Linked DNA regions of Callithrix jacchus. The protein of the gene in region 1 interacts with the protein of each later gene in a pairwise test. Links are inferred from orthologs where the notes say so. Each region holds a gene or a part of one and is shown on either strand. Other genes may lie near its edges. The genes, in order: MOCOS and PARVA.

What was found.
Region 2: the proteins of MOCOS (region 1) and PARVA interact in binary tests that used the Homo sapiens proteins (3 or more experiments, as listed by UniProt). The two-hybrid records come from large-scale screens. The link is inferred for Callithrix jacchus from reciprocal best matches to the Homo sapiens genes MOCOS and PARVA.

The regions. Positions count from the first base shown.
Region 1 is NC_133514.1:79,318,544-79,322,355, reverse strand, and holds part of MOCOS (molybdenum cofactor sulfurase), read right to left. Parts: intron 2,339-3,812; coding exon 2,222-2,338; intron 503-2,221; coding exon 38-502; intron 1-37. UniProt on the Homo sapiens protein: Sulfurates the molybdenum cofactor. Sulfation of molybdenum is essential for xanthine dehydrogenase (XDH) and aldehyde oxidase (ADO) enzymes in which molybdenum cofactor is liganded by 1 oxygen and 1 sulfur atom in active form.
Region 2 is NC_133511.1:78,412,085-78,415,896, reverse strand, and holds part of PARVA (alpha-parvin), read right to left. Parts: intron 1,370-3,812; coding exon 1,268-1,369; intron 545-1,267; coding exon 472-544; intron 1-471. UniProt on the Homo sapiens protein: Plays a role in sarcomere organization and in smooth muscle cell contraction. Required for normal development of the embryonic cardiovascular system, and for normal septation of the heart outflow tract.

The DNA.
Region 1 (3,812 bases):
AAGAGAAGCGTTTCTGTGCTGCTGTGAAAGTCCTTACCTCGAATGCAGCACAGGATTTGATTGGATAAAGGTAAAGGTTAGTGATAACATGTGCCCCAAGGGCCCCCTCCAGGACTCCTGCAGCTTTCTCTGAAGGAGTCTGCTGGATTCTGGTGACATCACATACAGGTGGGGCCACAGGCGCAGCATTCACAGCAGTGGGTGAGTTGTTCCAAACCCTGGAGCCTGTGAGGGCATCTTCCCGAGGCGAGAGGCTATGTCTGTGCACGACAGCAGGTGCAACATCAGCCTGGCCCTCTGCTGATGGGGCTTCAGAGTCCCGGGTGTCAGCACAGGCCTGAGAGATAGGCCAGCCCCCTGATGAGTGCAGGCAGGTGTCTATGATGAACCTGAGAAAGGCCTGGGCATCGTCAAGCGTTGACATGTATCCAAATGAAATCCTCACAGATCCTGTGGGATGCCCATCAATGAGGTCCATATTGTCCCCACAGACATGACCAGCCTAGGATAAGAAAGAAATGCACCAGCCAGAGTAACCCATTTCTCATAGAGACATTGGAAACGGTTTTCAAAATAAATTTTGTCAATTTTAAAACTAACCCAGGAAAACAAAACTGAAACATTAACATGTGCTGTGTGTCTGAGACATGAGTCAGCTCCGTACACTCAGGGGACCACTTTCTGGATCTCATTTTGCTCAACTGTAAATTGAGACCAATATCAATCTCAAAGAGGCCATTAAAAAGTTTCATAGAAACACTTCATAGAAAACATTTACCTAGAGCCAGGCACAGGGCTGGCTTACAGAGGGGTCAAAACACACACTGAAGTTTCAGAAGCACCGAGGGGTTGACCTCAGGGTCTACCCGGGACTGAGATGGGAGAAACATCACTGGACACTCTCATGAGCCTGTCAGTACTGAAGGGAGGCCTGCATCCCTGAGAGCTGCCCCTTGACAACAGGGAAAGTCAGATATGCTGCCCCTGCAAATGACCAGCCTGGGGCCACTATGAAGGCCAAGGTCAGCTTGAGGGCCCCTGCTGGGAGGTGGGAAAGAAAGGCAGAAGGATCATACTCTCTGAGCCCGGCTGCCTGGTGTTGGTCACTGGTCAGCATAGTGCATGGAGCTGCCCCAAACATCTCCTCAGTGCTGGATCCGGCTCAGTCACCCGAAGAAATGGAGCCACAGCATTCCACAGGGCCAAATATTCTATCTGGAGCTGTGTTTATTTGTGTTCTGAGCCTCCGTCTCCCTCTCTCCCCTCTTCTCCTTCCTCTCCTATCTCCTCCCTCTCCTTCTCTCCTATCCCTCTTTCTTCTTAAACAAAACTCAGTTCATGGTTACTTGGGATCTAGTATATACATTATTTCAATAACATACAATATTTCATGGCAACCAAATGAAATTCAAGTTAGAAACTCAAAGCAATGAAGACTCTTTGCCATTCAAATTATTCCCAGTGCAATGGTTTAAAACAGGCTATACCTTGAAGTGAAAAACCTCAGCCCAGGGGAGAGACCGGGAGGGTGGGGATTCTGGGAGATGCAGAATCCCTGGAGCCCAAGAAGAGTTCCACTCTGCACCCAACCTGGATGCAGCTGGCTAACTGTAACCTGGAGGCTGTACCTCAGGAGGGCTGAACCAGGTAAGGCACATCCTCACACATCCCTTCTTAACTCCCCTCTCTTGCCTTTAAATGTTTGGCCTCAAAGTAAAAAACTAATCAGAAAGTCTGCAATAGAGATAATATCTTGAAGCTTATTTTATTTTATTTTAGACAGAGTCTTGCTCCATCGCCCAGGCTGGAATGCAATGGCACTGACTCGGCTTACTGCAACCCTCTGCCTCCCAGGCTCAAGCTATTCTCCTGCCTCTGCCTCCCAGGTAGCTGGAATTACAGGCACATGCCATCACGCCTGACTAATTTTTGTATCTTTAGTAGAGACAGGGTTTCACCATGTTGGCCAGGCTGGTCTTGAACTCCTGACCTCAGGTGATCCACCTGCCTTAGCCTCCCAAAGCACTGGGATTACAGGCGTGAGCTGGCACCCAGCCTTCTTGAAGCATTTTCTCTTTGTATTCCTTTTCCTTTGTACATGCACAGAGCAGGCATGGGGAAATGAGTCTGCAGCAGCAGCCCCCACTCCAGACACGCATGTAGTAACAGGTGTCACTGGGTCTCGCTGACCGGCATCTGGACCGCAGAACCCTGTACCAACCTGAAAATGCTTCCTGACCATCTCGCTGCTGATGCCCAGGTGCCTCTGGCAGGCTCCAGTGTTGCAGAAGCAGCCAGTTCGCAGATGGATGTTGTAAAGACTGGCCATTTTGTCCACCTGCAGATTTAATGTAACATAGAATAAGCTGTTACCAATGTGCAGTTTTACTCTGAGAGAGCTTCATATCGGCATTTAGACCTCTGTTTCCTAATAATAAAATAAAGATATGAGCCTGGAATTGTCCTCTAAAATGCCACGATGTACCACAGGCTTGTTAAACACTGTATAAAATGTTTCAGTGAGGCTGGAGATGGTAGCTTCTTGGCATCAGCTGCATGGTTTGGACCACAGGGTAGGCCCCGTGAAAGTGCCGTTCCAAGTAGCCCCGCCTCAGCTCGCAGCCTGGACTCCACGTGTTACTGTGTCCATGCTGAGCATGATTGATTTGCTTTTCCCACTTTCTCCAACTTTGGGTTTAATCACGGAATTGCCATTCAGTCCAGCAGTTTCCACAGCTCTTTCCTGCCCTCTGGAGGCTCTGGGAAAGGTTGGCATTCACATGAGTCCTGGGGGATGTCTGCCCCAGCTCCTCCAGGCCTGAGTCAAGGACTCCATTCCCTCAAGGGCCTGGGGGCCCAGTGAGAGTCCTTGCCCTGGTGCTCAGGCTGACTTCACAGGAGGAGCCATTGAACTGCATTCAGGAAAACAAACACATCTTGCTCAATAGTTGAGCCTTTGAACTTTTCTCCCTGGGAAGTCACATATGGGGTGGCCAGAGGTCACTGTGCGGTCAGCCAGGGATCATGGCTGGACAATGATGCCTCCCACAAACTCTTATCAAGACAGGGCAGTCTTCACCTTGGCCGTCCCCTCTGGTGTGTCAGTGAGAAGAAGCCATTCTCTGGGTTGAACTGAGAGGCTTCAGATGAACAATTCTGTTTCTTCACTCTTGGCTAAGGGTCCGCTGGCATGCAGACCTGCTAGTGAATTTAGGAGTTTCCTGGCTCTGTGAGGTGAGTCCTGGCCACCCTACTGGGCCCGGCCAACTCCATCTCCAGCATCAAGTTTAGCTTCACAAGGCAACCCTGGGGAGACCCCTGACCCCCAGTCCAGCTGCCACTAGGCTGAATTAGAATCCCTGTGGCCCCCATCGCCCACTCCCCCGTATTCAAAACCAGTTACCTTTGTTGTGAAGCAGGCCACCAAAATTAGAGATAATAAAACAATCACCATTTTATGGGGCTCATGGCTACAGTGTGGGACGAATTCAAACAGGGCACGGAGGAGATATCTCCTCTCTGTCTTAAAATGTCTGGAGTCTCAGCTAGGAAGACTCAAAGGCTGGGAGTAGTTTGGCATCTGGGGGCTGAGATCATCTGGAGACTCCTTTACTCCTGGGTCTTTCTGGTCCCCAGGCTGGGAGGGCTCCAGAATTAGGATTGCCAGCCACAGTCCTGAGCTTGGCTTCTCTGTGTGACTTGGCATCCTTGCAGCATGCATGGCAGCCTCAGGGCACAAGACGGTAACTGACAGGGTAATTCCAGGCTCCAAAGCTAGTGTCCCAGGGAACAAAGCCAACATGGCAACGCCC
Region 2 (3,812 bases), on another chromosome or scaffold:
TTACAACCCAAACCCCACATAGCAAGCCCTATCCTCAGGCAGCATCTGAGCAGGCGGAGCTCCACTCCTGTCAGGATAGTAGAAGCAGTTTTGCTCAGCACAGAACTGTCTGCGCTGCACCTTCACCTTGACTGGCAGGGACACAGCTCTTTGGCAGGTCAGCACCCTGTACAGGGACAGAAAAACCTGGAAATCGGGCACAGGACAGATCCTGCAGCAGCACTTCTGCTCGCGCCCTGATCCCCGCAATCCCATATGCACGGCATGTGTGGGATTTGATTCTTTTCTTCCCCTGGCTGTGCAGTTGGCATCTCACAAAGGGTCTCCCAAGACCGAGCAGCTGCACCAAGCCCCACCTTCCCCAGCAGTGGAGGCTTCAGAAAATGCTTCCCTCTGCTACAAAATCTGAGTACTTGCATGCAGGGAGAGGGTCTCATTCTGTTGTCACAAACTCAGGAAAGAGCAAAGTACCTTCTGGCCGTGGTTTTGGCTTTTCCAACCCTCCGTCTTGCATGAGCTCAAAGGCAAAGGAGACATTCAAGACCTGGCAAGAGAAATGCCGAAAGTATGCGCCATTGCACACCCAGGAGCCCTGGGACCTGACCTCGGGAAGTGAAGGAGCCTAGCACTGTAGCTAGAGGGGCAGTGGCAGAACTAATTTCAAGGAAAAATATGGCTACCTAAATGGGCAGGCCACAAGGAAAGTGAGCTAGCTTATCCTAGCTTACTATTGGAGAAGCTCAAAACCCTCTTCATATCCTACTGTGTTCCTGTGTAAACTGCCAGGACTTCAAACTGGGGGTGTCAGCGCACACGTTGGGAAGAATCAGATGGCAGGACACGTTCAACAGGCAGAGCAGGCTTTCTGCTGTGGACCAAATGCCTGTGTGTAGTGAGGAGGATGTGGCAGCCTAGGAGAGGCCATCAGAACCAGGCTAAGTGTGAGCCTCAGGTATGACCAGCTTCATAGCCACTTTCCTTGTCATCTCTGCGGAGAGATGAGTCAGGGCTGGGGCACTTGACAGGAACACAGGGCAGGGGACCAGGGCCAGGCTTCAAGGGAAGGGAGAGGCAGTCAGGGATGCCCAGTGGTCTGCAGGTAGCTCCTTCCCAGCTCAGCTCTTATCATAATGGGCCCCACCTCCAGGCACTGAAGACCTTGGACAGAGGGGAAGCTCTGCCTTTTTCTGGATAGCCTCAGTGTGGGTGTGGGCAGATGAGCTGGGGATGTGGGCTAGAGGGCCTCCCTTGATGTCCTTCTACTTACCTTCTGTTCGAAGCTGTCCGGGGTCAGGAAGAAGCTGTGCAGGGGCACAAAGTAGCCCTCCAGGAGCCCCATAAGCAGCACCAGGTATACCCCATCTGCAAACTGGAGGGAGAGCCAGCTGATGGCACTGGCCCCTCAGCCTCCCAGCCAATCCCCATCCAGGGGGCCCATCAGCTTCCGTGCTATGCCACCTGAAGCCTACCACCCTAGGCAGGCTGCTAGCTGGGGGATAGGGGAGGTGGCCTGAGACAAGGAGGTCCGCTCTGCCCCATGTCTGGCTGGCCCAGCACAGGAGCCACAAACCCATGGCTCTGATTTTAGCTGACCCAGCATTTACTGAGCAGAGGCTGTGTACCAACTCCCTGTCTAGGCATGGGGACCAGAGTGTGGGGGGTCAGAGTGGCTCCTGCCCTGGAGGAGTGGACAGTCTAATCGGGAAACGTGTGGGGGCAATGCACAGCTGCTCCGATGGAAGGAAGCACGGTGGCTTGAGTGGGGTTAAGAAAAGTCACCCATAAGCACCGAAGGCATCAGAGGAGTCTTCCGGAGGGGAAAGCATCTAAGTCGAGGGCTCAGGAAGAGCAAGACTGACTAGAGTGGGGCAGAGGGAGGAGGGGGAGGTGATGTCCACAGTGAATGGCATGAGGCTCCTGGGGTGATCTGTGCTTTCCGAACAGAGAAAGGCCAAGTGTCACACAGGCCTAGGCACTCTTCTTTCTCCCATCTCTCTTCAGTATTACAGCAGCAGAGGGCAGCTGTTATGAATGTGGGCTCTGAGGTCCAGCCTCCCCAGTGCAAATTCCAGCTCTCTCACCTACCAGCTGTGTGCCTTGGGCAAGTTATGTCACTTCTCTGTAATCACATCTCTCATCTGTGAAACCGGGATGGTAATAGTATAGTATCTACATCACAGAGTTATCATGAGGACCAAGCCAGTTAATACATGGACAGGGCCTGTAAACTGCTTAGTGTGCAGTATTGAACAAATATTAACTATTGCTATTACTGTGTGGGAAAACAACAAAGCAATCGGGACACGACTTACTGGCTCTTGCTGGCAGATGTAGAACTATGTGCTGAGGGCCCTGGCAAGAGGCTTGGAGCCCGGTCCCTTCCTAGGTAGAAGAGGCCAGATGGGTTGCGAAACCAGGCCTAAGGGACAGGAGAGTCCTCGGCTAATTGCGGAGGCTGCCGGTCTTCTGCTCAGGGCTGAGGGTGAGGTAGGCATATACTGAGCGCTCAGGGCAGGCTTGTGGAGGCCGTGGAGGCCGGGACGATGGACCTTGGGAAGAGTAGGGGGTCTATGCAAAGACACAGAGGCCAGATGTACATCAGACATTCTAGAACCCTTTCAAAGGAGCTGGGCCACCAAATGTTTGTGAGTGTAAACAGCAGCTAGGGTTCATAGAAGGCCAAATTTCTTGGAATCATCTTAGGAGCCCAGAGGCTGCTCAGAGAGCTTTCCTGGTAGCCAGCTGGCCAGGCTGTGGCTCAGCCTTCATTAAGGGCAGAAGACCCTGAGCTTGGGCTTGCCTTAAAGGCAGCTTCTGGCTGAGTGCAGTGGTTCATGCCTGCAATCGCAGCATTTTGGGAGGCTGAGGCGGGCGGATTGCTTGAACTCAGGAGTTCAAGACCAGCCTGGGCAACATGGTGAAACCCTGTCTTTACTAAAAATACAAAAAAATTAGCTGGGTGTGATGGTGCATGCCTGTAGTCCCAGCTGCTTAGGAGGCTGGGCGGGGGGTGGGAGGATCACCTGAACCTGGGAAGTCAAGGATGTAGTGAGCCGTGATCGTGCCACTGCACTCCAGCCTGGATGACGGCAGTGAGACCCTGTCTCAAAAACAAAAGGGTAGCTCCTCCCAGCTTCCATCCATCAGACCTGCAGCTCAGGTGGAAAGGGCCTGAGCTTGACTCACCCTAGGTGGACATGGGAGAGCAGACCCCAGAGTCTGTCAAAATCAAGGCCCTTATGGTGGGAGCTGAGCAACTAGGCTTCATTCCAGCAATGGTGAGAAGGAGTTAGGAGTAAAAATATCCAATCTGTGGTTAGGGTTGGGGTCACTCACAGCTCTGAGTGCCAGGCTTAGACTGCTCCCCACCTCCCCTGGCTGGTTCTGCTGACTTGGTAGGAATAGCAGATCAAACTGCAGGGACCCAAAGAGCTTGGCAGTCACCCCTGTCATAGCACTCCCTGCCCTGAGTCCATTGCAGCTCACTCAAGGAAGCATCACTTTTCTAGAACGTTCTTTATTTCCTACAAGAGTGTATGAAGCTGATTTCACAGTCTAGACAAACTCAGGTGGAGCTCAACGACAGACTGGCATTTGCCTTTAAAATAAAAGGAGGTATCCAGCTGATTAAGAGAGAAGCACAAGGCAGAAGTTCACCAAGAAAGAAAGGGGGTGGAGAAGAAGGATTCATCAGTCTCAAAGTATCTCCCCAGTAAAGATTAGTTAAGTATAAAGGGAGGAAAAATAACTTTATAGTAGGGAAATCTGGTGAACACCACCCTAACCAAATAATCCAAGTTATCACTAGCAAT